Drosophila melanogaster: one gene and its partner. Changing the gene in region 2 together with the main gene of any one other region gives a genetic interaction. Each region holds a gene or a part of one and is shown on either strand. Other genes may lie near its edges.

What was found.
Region 1: of Rpp30 (region 2) and Claspin, changing one suppresses a phenotype caused by changing the other (phenotypic suppression), as found in Drosophila melanogaster (one study listed by BioGRID).

Annotation. Positions count from the first base shown.
Region 1 is NT_037436.4:4,310,784-4,320,111, reverse strand, and holds Claspin (claspin), read right to left. Parts: upstream 6,630-9,328; 5' UTR 6,478-6,629; coding exon 5,002-6,477; intron 4,940-5,001; coding exon 4,692-4,939; intron 4,641-4,691; coding exon 3,978-4,640; intron 3,920-3,977; coding exon 2,618-3,919; intron 2,561-2,617; coding exon 2,308-2,560; intron 2,251-2,307; coding exon 1,915-2,250; intron 1,853-1,914; coding exon 1,733-1,852; 3' UTR 1,504-1,732; downstream 1-1,503. Other genes in the region: PMP34 (peroxisomal membrane protein 34), read right to left, coding at 853-913, 990-1,061. UniProt on the Drosophila melanogaster protein: Required for checkpoint signaling in response to DNA replication stress; either resulting from normal embryogenesis or induced by the DNA synthesis inhibitor hydroxyurea (HU).
Region 2 is NT_033779.5:249,464-255,402, reverse strand, and holds Rpp30 (RNaseP protein p30), read left to right. Parts: upstream 1-3,029; 5' UTR 3,030-3,085; coding exon 3,086-3,176; intron 3,177-3,236; coding exon 3,237-3,424; intron 3,425-3,478; coding exon 3,479-3,547; intron 3,548-3,601; coding exon 3,602-3,876; intron 3,877-3,938; coding exon 3,939-4,209; 3' UTR 4,210-4,364; downstream 4,365-5,939. Other genes in the region: Dus1 (dihydrouridine synthase 1), read left to right, coding at 1,024-1,447, 1,513-1,957, 2,018-2,183, 2,258-2,740.

The DNA of each region.
Region 1 (9,328 bases), on a different chromosome or scaffold from region 2:
TATAAGTTTTAAGCTGGGGATTCTGAAGCCAAGATTATTTCAGGTGTGTTTGGTTTTCGCGCTAATTGAACTTGTCACGCATACTACGAGTCAGTGATATTAAGCCAACCCTGAACCCTATTATGTTAATTATCCAATTTCTAGAATTAAATTTGAAAACGCTTTAGTCGAATATGCAACCGTGTTGGGTAAATATGGTATGGGCTAAAATTGTCATAAAGCTGCACCTTTAAAAAAATGTATTAAAAGGTATTTCTTTTTGTTTTCGCGAATTTTAGTGAACTTAACTGATCATAATTGTAAGAAGTTTTATTTTACGAGTCAAAGTCCAATGGCTCTATAAAATTGCAAAATTTATGCATTCAGATAATATAAGCTGTTCGTGTACTTGGAAAATGGGAAATAGAGCGCACACCTTGTAAAGTGAACCCTCGATATCACATAGGTATCATATGGGCACTTAATATTGAACGAATTTTGTGTATCAAAATATACACAATGTAATATTATAACTACGTTCACATATGATATCATCTATAGTGTTTGTATATCTTTTAAAATAAACCTTTAGTTATTCCTCATACTATACAGAAAATAATTATCACAATTTTTTTCGCGGCACAGAAACCAGACGCTATCGAATTTCATCTATAACCAGACCTCAAATTGGATTAGCCCGGGCAATTGACTGATATGGACTCTCAAACATATCGTCAATAGAAAGTTTCAAACGCTGGAGTTTGAACTCGCGCACAGATTAATAGGTGCGCCTATATGAATTATCAAAGCGTGGCCCGCTTATCGGGTGATGATTAGTTACAGTCCGATTGTTGAATCCCTGGGTAAACTTACGTTGCAGGCGGGAACGCACTGTATCCAGTGGATAGAAAGTGCTCATGGCGATGCAGCCGCCCTGTGAATAGGTGACCAAATGCAAATTAGCACCGATGCCATCTTGACCTTTAGCCGGCAAATATTTGCCCACTCACCGCAGCTCCGGATACGGCATGCACAAAGTTCTGGTAGCTAAGCACCTGGCTGAGTTTCGAGGGGGCCACCATTCTGCTGTTTGTTTGTCGGACTGTGAGATCTCTAAACTGGGGACTGGAACGTCCGGCGGCGTCTTCGGGCGAGTGTTTACTGATTGACGACGACCCGATCGATCCGCCGGTTGTTGAAAATTTAGCTGCGGCAGCGCTGTTCGCCGCGATGTGTAGATTAGATTAAATTTATCGGCGGCGGAGGAGGCGGTGGCTTTGTTGTGCCTCCTGGATCACGGCGACTTTGTAAATGATTCACTTACATATTCATAATTTCTGTATAGAATTCACATTCATTCACACAGTATGACCAATGTTTGTGGGTTCGAAATATACCATGTAGCTGGAGAAATATACCAAAATATATATACGCACATATGTATATATTTTACAAAATAGACCGTTAACTGGGTTTGTAAAATCTTAAATCTTTCTTAATTTTTTATTAATTATTCCTCATTTTACTGAAATACATACAAATTCCTAATCATAAACTTCCTACATACCAAATTTCACAACAATCGCACATAAAATGTAAGGAATATTCCAATTATAAGGCAGTATAACCAATTTATACTGTTCCTATCTAAAGAAATATAAAATTTAACTTATTTTTATTCACTCCTATAAACTATCTTAGCAGTCTAACTTTTGAAATGTACATTTAAGTCTTAGCTTAAAAGAAGAACGGATCAAAGGAGCTGATCTATTAGGCACTTGTCTCTCCGAGGCTCCAACTTTGGTTTCTTTATGAAGTTTACCCCCGTCTCAGTGCTGCTGTTCAGTATATCGGCAGCTTTTCTCTTTCGATTCTGGAATGTTATTAATTTGGTTTAGAAGGAATCGTAATCAAAAGAACATAGTTAGTTCCCACCTCATGTTCCTCTTCCGTTAGCGTGGCGAAAACGAAGTTTTTCGCCTTCGCTGACTTCACAGAAATAGTGCCCTCCGCGGCATCCACATCGCCGGAGGTTCCTTTTGTGAGTCCTGCCAGTTTGGAAAGCGTCTGCTGGTCCCGAATCAGAAAGGAGCCACGAACAGCGCTCTTCTGCTGCTTGCCAGCTATTGTCTTTGAGATCAGGAATGGAGAATTCTTCTTCACCTCCACAGTTGTCTTCTTAGAGGAAATTATGTTCAGTCGGCGAATGGCCGGCGAATTACCATTGTTACTGGTGTTTATCACGGACGTAGAAAGCGGTGAGGCCACCTCCTAAAAGATTAAAATGTTTTAGTGAATAGAACTAAGAAAATAAACGAGTTTTCGCACCGGTTTTAAACCCTTCTCTAAAAGAAGCTGCTCTCGTTCGTAGCGGATTTTTCGCCACAGATGCTCGTTTTCCTCATCGCCACTGCCGTCGTTTCCTTCACCATTGTCGGTTCGATTATCGTCGAGACTGAATCCGGCCTCCACGTTCTTCCAGCGGAATTGGCGCTGGCGATTCGCTCCCTCTTCCTCCTCTTCGAAGAGCAATTCCTTGATCTTGCGCACTTCCCGAATATCCTGATCCATCATTTTACGCCTGTCAAAAAGAAATGGTTAAAGTATTTTAAAGAAGTAGAATTTTTGATTTACTTACGCATGTATCTGGCCAAGCTCATGCCGCAGTTTATCACGATCGAACTGGTCTTCGTCGCCCAATTCAATGTCGTACTCGTCCATGTTTTTCTCATCCTCGTCGGCTGATCCCCATTCGGATTCAGACAGCTCAGCTTCTTTGTCCACAAAGTTGGCTGCTCGTATTTTACGATCCTTCTTGGTCATCTCCACAACAATCTCATTTTCCTCGGAATCGTAGTCTACAAAGGTTTCCGGAATTTCCTCTACTGGCTCTGCGTCACTTTCCTCGTCGAATTCCTCAACCTCATCATCGCTATCTTCATCATCCGAGAAGCCCAATTTGGCCTTTTTCTTTGGCCTTTTCTTGGTTAGTTTTTTGTTTCTTGGCTTATCGACTTCCAAGGCATCCTCCTGGGCTTCTTCATCGCTGGATACTATTCTGTTCGCTACTGCTGCCGGTACTTCGGATTCTTCCTGCTGTTCCGGCTGTTGAGTGGGTGCTTGCGATGGCAACTGGGTGGCGAAGGTACCAGAACACAGACCCTCCAGTTCATCTGCTGCCTGGCTGCTGCCGCCAAACTGTGTCATGGGAATCTGACTGATCACAGCTGTATCCACCGAAGGGGCGTCGGAGGAAAGCATCTGGGTCTGCGGAAACTGGCCAGAACACAGATCCAGGAGTTCATTCTCCTCGTCGCTGGCCGTGCGTCGGGTCTCCACATCGAAAAGCTTGTGGGCGGATAATTGCAACTGGGTAGCGGTTATGGGAGCAACATTGCTTGGCTTCGGAGTTTGCAGCAGGTCGAGATCATCTTCATCGGAGTTGTCGTCCTCGAATGCTTTAATGATGCGGTTCTTCTTTCTGGTTTGCGTTTCTGGCTCTGGGTTCGCTTCACATTCCTGCTCACTTTCACTGTCATTTTTCTCATCCTCACTGTCTTCAACTGGATTGTCTTCGGGATCTTCGTCTGCATCGTTTTTGTTTTCTTCAGCATCGCCATCATCCTCAGCAGTGCTATCAACTTTATCTATGATTTCCTCATCTTCATTTATAGTTACTTCTGCATAGCCAGGTTTATCTTCCGGTTCGTACTCCTCATCCACATCCATGCCTTCCTCCTCATCTTCTGCCATTTTCTCCTGTTCTTCAGCCTGCTTTTTGCGTAGGTCCTCCATGCGTTTTTTAGTAATCAGGGTTTTGAGATGCTCCTGCATTTTCATGTAACCCGCTCCTGGTTTTGGTTCTTTTGCGATTTCCTCTTCGTGCAGGTGTATGCTCACCTTGGACATCTCCAGCTTGCCATGTTCAGTGGTTAGGATGCTAAAAAAAATGTACCCAAGTTTTAGGGCTGAAAAAGATGGTAAAGTGGGCTACATACTTGACAGTCTCTGTGGTCTTGTGCTTTTTAGCTTCCCGCGTTTTCATCAGACGGTTTAGCAGGTCATCCACACCTGTTGGTTTTTTGGCGAACATATCACCCGTTTCCAGATCAATAACCATGTTGGGATCGCCTTTCAGCGAAGGGCTCTCATCTAAGCTCTTCTCAATCTTCAGCTGGCGAATAACTTCGCTAATCTTAGGAGTTGCTGGCTTAGAGGACGGTGTTATGTTGATGGTGCTCAAGTCCAGCTTGGGCAATTCCACTACTTCTGTAACCAGACAGACTTTGCTGGGGGATTTCGCATTAGTCTCTTGCTGAATTTCAAAATTATCTGCTAATTTCAGGGCAGCTGCAGTAGAGGTGGAGGCAATGGGTTCTTCTTCAGTAATAGAATCTGCAACCATTGCTTCATCACCGACGGTATCATCTGTTTTGTCTTCACCCAGGACAGGTACCTCAATAACTGCTTGGCTGGTCATGTCCTCTGTGTCGTTCTTGGGCTGTTCTGGAGTTTTTGGATTATCCAGCATCTCATCCATAACACCTGGATTGTCTTTTAATTCCATAGGTTCTTCGTTCTCCGAATCATCCTCCTCATCTGACTCAGACTCAGACTTAAAGAACTCGGTAGCTTCTTTGGCACGATCCTCCATAAGTTTTCTAAACAATAGATTAGGTTTAAATTATCTTTTAAAGCCTCATGTAACTTACGCATAAGCCTCCAATTCCTCCCTGGTCATCCGCAGTCCCACCGACTTCCTTGGCTGCCTGCTGGGCATTGGACTTCCTCCAGCCAGAGCCGTGGCCAGTGGAGCGTTGATGGTTCGTCGGCTAAGAAACTCCTTCAGTGTCCTTGGTTTCGGCTGATGATACGGCACGTTGATGTGTGCCTCGCGGTGCAAACGCTGCTGTTCACTTTGGATGGCCTGCATCCCCTCCAGTGCTTTCTTAGCTGATTCCTAATTATATGAAAGTATGTATTAAAATATATTATAGCCATCCTATTAATTAAAAAACTCACGCGAACAACTTTGGCCTTCTTAGGTTTCTCTCTGGAGAGAGCGCTTTCCATTGGGGCTTCCTGTTCTCCTGCAGATTCCTCGGGATTGTCTAGCTCTGGTTCCGATTCCGAGTCCACCAATCCTTTAAGTTTGTTCTTGACGGGACTAACTTCCTCAGCAGTTTCTTCCGGTTCAGATTCGGAGTCCACCAATCCTTTCAGTTTGTTTTTGGGTGAACTGGTTATTTTCTCGCTTTCGGTTTTCGGGATTTCATCTTCGCTTTCACTGTCCATTCGTTGTTTATTTTTCTTTGCCTTTTTGGGAGGTTCCTGCATTTCCTGGTCTTCCTTATCGCTGCCCATTTCCAGCTCATTTTCACTGCTCATTTTCTTAAGATCATGATCTTGATCCACCTTTTCATTCTGATTTTCCTCTGACTCGTCATCGCTCAGTACTTTCTGTTTGTTTTTCTTGGCCATCTTTTTCGGCTTCACTATCTGTTCCTTATCCTCCTTGGTGTCAATATTGTCCAACTTTATTTTCTTGAGTGGCTTCTTTTGCTCTTGGTGTTCCTGGTCTTCACCTGACTCTTCCTTACTGTCCTTATTAGTTTTCTTGGCTGATTTTTTTGTCTTCTGCTTTTGAGGCTCCTGATCTTCTTGATACATTTTAAGGTCTTCACCCGCGTCCTCTTCGTTGTCCATTAGGGAATCTATTTTAGATTTGTCGGACTTCTTTGCCTTTGATTTTGGTGAAGGTTTCTTCTTCTCCTGTTCAGTGCCATTGTCCTCCTTATCATCCTCTTGTTGCTTCTGCTTCTTGGCCAACTTTTTTGACTTTTGTGTCTTTGCAGGTTTCTCATGCTGTTGGTGGTGGTCGTACTCTTCGTTTGTTTGGGGTTTACCATCTTTATTCGTTTGTTTCTTATTTTTGACCACTTTTTTTGGTTTATCCTCCTTGGAAGGGTTATCCTGGTCGTCCTCCGCCTTGTTTGCTTGGGTCTTATTCTTTACCGCCTTCTTTGTCTTATTAGATTTGACAGGTTTCTCCTGATCCTCCTGGTTGACCTGGGATCTCTTCTTCTTGCTTTTGACGGGTTGCTTCCCCTCCTCCTTCTGCGTCTTTTTTTCCGCCTGCTGCTCATCATCATTATCCGAATCTATGATGGCGGATACCTTCTTTTTCGGCCTGGAAACCATCTCCTCCTCCACATCCTCGCTGTTTTTTATGGAATCACCGTTTCCCTGATCCATTGCATCTTCCTCCTGGTCACTGTCCATCATCCTTCGGCGCCTGTCCTTGGGTGATAGGGGCTTTTCCTGGGAGCCATCTTCCGCTTCGCTGTCATCCGACATTATCAAACTCTTGCCACCCAGTAAATCTTCGCCGGAGACCATCTGCTCGTCTTCCTCGTCGAAGACCAGCTTTTCCATCGAGTCGTCGGCCTGCTCTTCATTTTCCGCTGCAGCTGCAGTTTCTGCAAGCGATTCACTCATATTTCTGGGTCACTTGTTTTTTTGTTAATAATAATAAGAAACCAAAAACATTCGAAGTCGCAAACGCACACAATTACACGCAGTTCGATTTTTGGCGCAAAGAGTGTTGAAAGTGCGGGATCAATCAGCTGATGCAGGCAGTGTTGTAAGGCATACTTAATAAACAGGCCTGGCCACATTTGTGTAAAATGATGTAGAAGAAATGAGTCAAATTAATGTATAATAGACCGTTACTTACAGGAATATTAAAAACAAAATTTTACTCAATTTCATAAGGTATAAAAATAATAATAATAAAAATAAAACAAAATTAATGTTGCTCCTTTATTTTATTATTTTCTAAATATTAATTAAATAAACAAAATATATTGAAATTAGAATATAAATTTTCTTAAAATATTTCAAATTTTATTTTGTATTAGAGGAGAATACATACTCAAAGTTTATGGCCACATCAGTTTAAATAGTGAAAACTCTTAAATAGCCATAAATGAACTCAATATCTCGACGAGCTGAAACCTATAAAATGTACATGATTATTCAAACGCAAATCAAGCAGCGTGAACAAATCTCGGACAGCAACTTAATCAGCAGGCTGCAACCTTTCAGCAGTACAGCAATCGAAAGTAATCACCCAGCGGATTTGCATACACTCAGATGAAAAAAGCAGACAAATGGAAAATATCCAGGTGGGTATGCGAGTAGGTTCACCTGTTCCCGTGGTTGTTGTTGCTCTTGTATGTTGGCGAATTGTTGCAGTTGGTTTGATTTTGGTACGATGTCGATGTTGCTACTTGCTGCCATGCTTTCTCCGCATCTCTTTCTGTCTCAGAGGCATTTCTCTTTCACAGTTTCGTGGCTGAAAAGCCAAAAAGCTGAAAAGATCTTTCGACCGAGGGTCATTAAGTAACCCCAAGACGACGAGAGTGGCCTAATGATATACCCTTGCTCCGATATAAATAGCATTAAAATGCAATTAATAATGCTGAAAAACGCATCCAATGCGCAACCATTAACCTCGGTTCAGAGCCTAATATTCAATTAACTTGGCTTTCAATGAAAGCAAAAGCAAAAGGCCCCCGAAAAGCGAAACCAAACCGTTTTAATAGGTGTTAAATTCCCCCGGCTTTTCACTTAATAGGTCTATTCTGAGATCACTCTCGGTCAAAACATAAATGATTAATGCATTTTACAAATGTCTTTGATATTTAAGAGGGACAAATGTTTCACCTTGCCGAATTGCGCAACGTTTGAAAATCCCACACAACAAAGCCATATGTTATTCAACCTTAGAAAGATCGAAAGAAAGCAGCCATATTTCACGAATCCTATGCTTTCCGCTTTGCCAAATTCATAATATATTCGCATGTGGAATCACAGCTTGGGCTTAATCAGTCGTTAAATTAGCATGGCTTGGTAAATATTTGGATACTCTTTTGGAAGAGATTTCTCTCAAATTTTCATATTTATCAAACATATCGATAGTATTTCAATAAGCTTAGAGAATCGCATGAAAACCATGATATTACATAGATATTTGTTCTAATTTGATATTTTCTAAAAAAAATTGATCTTATCATCTTACCAACAGAACTACAAGCTTTAATCCCCAGATACAAGTATTTATCACCATTAAGTCGTCTTTTACAGTCATAAAAACCTTAGGTAATTTTTGCCCCTTATCCAGCAGCCTGATTAAATCATAATGCTCTTGCTTACGACTTTTGAGCTAGGCATTTATAATTTTAAGCTTCAGCTAGCGCACCAATTAGCATACTATATACGTATATTTAAAAAAAACGAATCTTGGTGCCGTCGCACACAATTTCTCTTTCATTTGGCAAAAACCAAAAAAAAACTAAAAACGGTTAACTGTATGTATCTTTCAGACATCTTTTTTCATATCTGTAGCAGAGATTTTGCTTTTGGCCACTTACGGTATTTCTGCGCCTTGTTGTCGCTACCTAATTTGCATACGCACAGTTCACAGATACCACCGAAAACCGAAAAATCACAACTTGGGCCCATAAGATGAAAGTGAAAACACTCGAGTGTGTGCTAAATGCAGAGTCTAATCGAAAGATACACATAATTTCCAACTGTCTACAATCAATATTGATCTTCGCCTCACAATCTCATGGAATTCGAAATGGGATTTCGATCGAAGCAAACAAACAGCCAATGAATACCCCATTTCTTTAGAAAACTACTTTTAGCCCATATTTTCTTTTTGGCAAGACTAAGTGGCTTATGCAATCGCGCGGTCTTAAGACCTTTCAGAGCCTTCAACTGCAGATTTAAGTTGAGTTTATGGGGCTTATGCAGCCACTCTGTCGTTCGCAATTAAAAGCAAATCGTCCACGGAGGATCGCATAAAAAATCGGGGCTGATCGGCTTGTAAATGCCACATGTTTGCGTATATATCTTTTAGCTGTTGTTCCTGGGACCCAGACACGCCTTTGGCTGTCTGCGTCTGGCTTTTCGTTGCCCGATTGAGATTTCTTGCCGTTTTGCTATGCCATGTCTTTTTTTTTTTGCGAGTGAAAGTGATATATGGCGCATGACTCAGGCTCCGTCCATGCTCGACTCCATCCGACATCCAGCCGACCCCATCCCGGCCTCAAGTCATATGCATAAAATAATAATTAAGCGCCATTTATGCGGCCCAAGTCGAAGAAATGGCCAAAAAGGGCGCAGCAGCCATCGAGCGTGGACCGAAACCAAACTTAAAATCAATTGACGTTTTGCGCACACTGAAAAAAATATGAGCTCATAAAAAAAAATTTTTTTTTCTTATTTTTGCATTTTTGGATGTACCACCCATCACCTTTTTTCCGAAAAATCTAAAAAT
Region 2 (5,939 bases):
TTTTGGTAACATTTGTTACCAGCCTTGATAAGGGTAAAATTTTAATAGTTGTTACCTTAAATGTTGTATTTTAACTTAATGGGAATTCATAGCCTTTCGACCTCATGCTTTCAATTAAACCATTTTAAACTTACGTGTGTCCCCTTATGCAGTGCAACGCAGTCCGATAATTTCGATAAACCGGTGGAAAGAAGGGTTTGAACTTTTCAGTTTTGAGTTGCATGCACAACTTGAATAACTCAATTAGTGTGCGCATTGTTGTATGTTGTGGCAGTAGTTGGTGTTCGGCTTTTCTCGTAATTGTTGCTTTTGTTGATGTGCATTGACTTAGAGCGCAATTTTCACGCTTCTATGCCTGGGCCAAGCCCCAAAAACGAAAGCGAAACGAGAAGGTATTAAAGAAAACCCGGTGTAGTCGTTGAAGAAATTTAATTGGAGCAAACTCGAGCAAGCACTAGACATTAGACGTTGCAATTGCAGTTGCAGATGCAACAAAAGTGAAATTACAAAATTAATGCAAAAAACGAGTCTTCAAGAGTAATCGGGACGAAATCAGATGGTTCGAGCAAAAGGCATGCATTAATCCTATTCTATCAAGATCTAAAAAATGACATTCTATCCTAATTATACAAAATATAGAGTAGGCTTTCAGCGACCCTTAGCTCCGCGTTTCTGTTTTCATCCTGTGTGAGCTCAATGCAAATTTGTTTGGCTTTGCCCAACTGTGCGTGGCTTTTCCCAGTCGCTCGCTCGGCCGCTCCCTTTCGCCGCTAATGTGGCGCTAATTAGCTAGTTGTGAAAATGCGTAGGTGCCTTGGGAAATCCAGCCCTCTGCTGTCCGGTAAAGAATGAGCCACAATATTAGACTGCATTGCGGGTATTTGTCAACCCGTTAGCGGGATGACTAATGTCATTTGGGCTTGGGGAAAGGTGCCGATAATCACTGTCGCATGGAATATTTTCAACTTTTGCCAATAGGCGTATCAATCCAATCTTTTTTTTTAGATTTCATTTGAATTTGCCATGGTGAACGATGAAGACGCCGCGCACCAAAGACCTAGCAAGCCCACCGGATACAACTTCTACCGCTCCTCCTTGGGATCCCCGCGTTATGTAGTGGCTCCCATGGTGGATCAAAGCGAGCTGGCCTGGCGAATGCTGTGCCGACGCTATGGCGCCGAACTCTGCTACTCGCCAATGTACCATGCGAACCTCTTCGCCACAGACCCCAAGTATCGCAAGGATGCCTTGCAGACGTGTCCCGAGGACAGGCCATTGATCATCCAGTTCTGTGGCAACGATGCTCAACAAATCCTGGATGCAGCACTCCTGGCGCAGGACCACTGCGACGCGGTGGACATAAATTTGGGTTGTCCCCAGGCCATTGCCAAGAGAGGTCACTACGGATCCTTCCTGCAGGATGAGTGGGAGCTGCTGACAGAGATTGGTGAGTAGCACAGGCTACTTTGATTGTTTATGGAACTAGTGATTGCAACTGCTATATTATCCTAGTGAGCACACTGCACGCAAAACTAGCCGTTCCTGTAACTTGCAAGATTCGCATCTTCGAGGACCTTGAGAAGACCATTAGGTATGCCAAGATGCTGGAGGCGGCCGGCTGCCAGCTTCTGACTGTCCACGGTAGGACCAGAGAGCAGAAGGGTCCGCTGACCGGGGTGGCTAATTGGAACTACATTAAGAATGTGCGCCAGCACATCAAGATTCCAATGCTTGCCAACGGAAACATCCTGGCCCTGGACGACGTTCATCGTTGTCTGACTGAAACAGGAGTCGATGGTGTAATGAGCGCCGAGGGTAATCTGCACAATCCGGCCATCTTTAAAGGAGTCTCACCGCCCGTCTGGCAAATGGCCCATGAGTACTTGGAGCTCGTTCAGCTCCATCCGTGCCCGAGTTCCTTTATACGAGGACATCTCTTCAAGCTCTTCCATCACATGTAAGTCTCTACACTACCGAACCTAAACCGATTTTTCAAAATCAATTCTCTATTTCGTAGCATGAATATCCGGCAGAACTCTGAGTTACGGCAATACCTAGCCACTGCAAATCAGCTCGTGCAATTCCAAGCCGTCGTGCAACAAGTACGGGCAAAATACGAGCCGTTCCACAAGGGCGAGGTGCCATACGAGCCCGAACAAATGGCTGCTGGATCAGAGGAAGATGTAAGTTGCTCGAACGGATCTTTGTAATAGAGTGGATCTGAAATAACACGAATATTTTATATTCCCCAATAAAGCTGCCACTTTCTCCCTGGCTGTGTCAACCATATATACGCGCCTCACCCGAATCCCATCGCCAGAAGATTGCCGAAAAGGTGCGCGAGGCTGAGGATCCCAACCGAACCAAGCGGCAGTACTTCGACAAGGACGGCAAGGAGATCTCCCGCAAACGGATGAAGAAACTTCGAAGACGCCAGCGAAGACCCAACAAAACGGAGGCCCAGATCCAGCATCGGCACGAGAGGCGCCTGGAATACTGCTCGGAATGCGCCAATCCCCAGGGATCCAAGTGCGAGTTCCAGCTGTGCCGCGTGTGCTGCAAGGACAGGTGCTACAACAACGATCGCGATTGTCCTGGTCACGGGATCTTCATCAAATCCCGCCGAGCCAGGGCCAAGCTTTTTGAGGAGCACATCGCCCCGCAGGACCACCAGAAGGTGACGAGAACTTCAGACGATGACCTGACGATAGCCCCAACGGATGCGCAGGAGCCGCTTTGACCTTAAACCTGTACTTTAGGAAACACCCTTCTTGTTTTTGTTTCTATGACTGCGAATAAAAAAAAGCTTGTTTTAAAAACCGCATTGATTGTTTTCATTCAAACTTTTGATTCCATGGCGGGTTTCTTTCATAAGCAAACCCCAAACCGGTTGAATTGGCCAATTTATGCGAACCCATTCTATTTGTGCATTTATACTTTTAAAGTTTCCTATGTAAAAAAAAAAAACTGTTAGTGTGACCGTGTTATTTGTGCCCTAAAATGTGTTTCAATTATCTGGCGAAAGCTGGCCACTCTAAACACCGGTTGCACGCTGTGGGCAACGAAAATCAAAACAAAGCCTAAAATGGAGCAAACAAGGCCATTTTACGATTTCAGCATACCATACAACAAGGACGACTCCGTGTTGCGGGCCCTGCTTAACGAGCTGGTGGAAAGTGAGTGAGAACAAATGACCATACAGAAGATTCCCACGACATCCGACATACTCGTTGCAGCGGGCTACAAAACAGTGGCCATCGACCAGAGTTTCGACCACAGCAAAAAGGATCCGGGCAAACGTGGGTCCGAGATGTTTCCCGAGCCTCATAAGATCGAGCATCTGCGCAAGGAGTTCCAGGACAAGCTGAGAATCCTGCAGAGAATCACCATTCTCTACGTAGACGTCAATGTGGCCCACGCGATGGTAGGAACACTTGATGATGGATAATAGCAAGTTAATTTGTATTTGTTGCTGTAGAGTGTCTCCCATAATCTGCGGAAGTTCAATCTCATCGCTGGCCAACCGAAAACAGATGCCGCCCTGACGGTAAGTCACTATAAGTACCACCTTCAAATCATCATTTAACACGGACCATCTAAGCACTGCTGCACTGCCTTCAATGGGGACTTGATAACTTTTGATCCTGTGGCTGGGTCCCGACTCTTGGTAAACCGAAAAGCATACCAGGTGGCAGTCCGTCGGGGCATGTTCTTCGAAATTAAATACGCTCCATCTATCTGCGATTCGAATAACAGGAAGGACATGATAAAGATCGCCCAGAACTATTGCACCAAAGGGAAGTCCAAGAACGTTATCTTCAGCAGTGGTGCGGCGCACGAATTCCAGCTGAGAGGACCTTACGACGTTGCTAATTTGTAAGATATAGCTAACTAGATTACCTTTAAGATGAAGTCTAATTGGTACTAACATTTTAAAGGGCCTTTATCTTCGGCCTATCAGAGGACCAAGGGAAAAATGCTGTGGACGGGCACTGCCGGGAACTTTTCCTGAAGGCTGAGGCGCGTCGTCTGGGAAAAACCATCATGTTTCTCAAAGGAAACGGTCCCATAATATACTCGGATAGCTCTGAGGACGAGAAAAGCACCGAAGACGAAATGAAGGGTCTAAAACCGCAAATTGGAAAAGCGGATGCATTTGAAGTCAAAGACGGAACTGAGCACGCTATTAAACGACTTAAAGTGGCGTAGCCTTTAACTAAAATACATCAGCTTTTTTAATAAGTTGGCTAGTTTTGATTTTACGACGAAAGCCGGCTAACGTAACGTAATGGTTTTGGGTCTAGGCTGCACGTGGTTTGGGTCCAGGAAAAGGTCGACAGTTTTACTTCAGCAGCTACATGTCTAACTATACCCGATTGACTATGCTAATTATCGTTAAATTTTAAGTTGTTTGTTAAATAATATTTCCGTTTGTTGTCATTTGTACATTAGTGATGTCAGTAGCGATATTTAAAATAATATATCGATGGCATAAAAAGAAGAACCATCGATTGGCGGGTATCCGGGACTTCTGGCAACATTGATTTTCGTCCCAGCTCTAGCGTACAACAACAAAACAAAATGGAGGTCTTTGATGTGTGTGTCGCGTTGTCTTGAAATTTGCTGCTAGAATTTTGCGTTAAACGGTAATTTAAAGTGCAAAGTAATTAAGAAAAATTGCTTTAAAACGCTTGCCAGGGTGCCGGCATCTGGAAAAGCACCAAATCTGATCGGAGTTGAGCGTATTTTAAGCAAAATTAGCATTTGAAAAGTGGTCGAAACCGAGTCACTTGAAAAGAAAAAATGTGCAAAGAGGAGAGTGGAGAGTAAGACAGAGAAAGCAAAAAGAGCAAGAAGACAAGCGACGAGACGAAAAGAAAAACGGCAAAGCAAAAGAAATATATTTCGCGAGACTACGAAGAAAAGCTGAAAAGTAGCAGCCGTCGAATTTCAATTGTTTTTTCCCCCGCAGTTCCAAGTGCATTTCTCTATGCGCCTGTGTTCGTGTATGTGTGTGTGCGAATAATTAATGGCAAAATTGCCGAAGAACATCGAAAATCAAATCCGAAAATGTGAGCGGCGACCGTCTAATACAATTAAAAATGGTCATCATCGGGAAGTTTGTGTATGTGTGCGATGCTCGCTTGCGTTTTCGTCTTCATCATGTTTGAGTGTAATTATCACGTTGATTATTGCCTGCTCATTTGATTTCTTTCTCCAACTTCTATTCGCCATATTCTTTACTCCCGCTTTTTACTCAAAAAAAATTAAAACTGTTGGTGGTTATAGCTAGGACTTTTTTTCTCGTAACGCTTGTAGCATACATTTTGTGTATGTATTTGTGCCCCGTTTCGCTGCAGTGTTGCCAACATTATTCGGGTGATGCAGCGCCGCACATTTTGCACCTGTGCAGGAGACAATCTCTCCCCACCCTCACTCACGCCCCGTGGCGCATTTATCCATCTACCATAATGGCCATTGCTACAGTTGCTCTGCCAACGTCGCAGTCGACGTTCTCGTTGCTCTTTTCACAGTTTGTTATTATTGCGATGGGACAAACCGAAGTGCAAATCATATTCCCAAATTAATTGTCTTATTTTTCGATTAGGTTTATTTCAATGGCTCGATTTTAATTTAAGAAATAAACAGGAAAACTACTCGAAAATCTAGCAAAACATCCGCAGGTTTGAGAAGACGATTCTGTTGCAGATAAAATTTCTCCTCGTTTTTTCTACAAATTTAATCTGTGCTGCAAAACAACCAACAACTCGAGTGCAATCTTTTTCTTTTTATAACAAATTTGGTGTTCTTGGTCCAAGCTGCACTGTAGCTGTCATCAATATTTCTATATTGATAGTCTAAAGTAGCACTCACATAGATACAGTGCACATATGCAACGGTATCCCCATTTGCGGCTCTTCCTCTTTGATTGGTTTTTG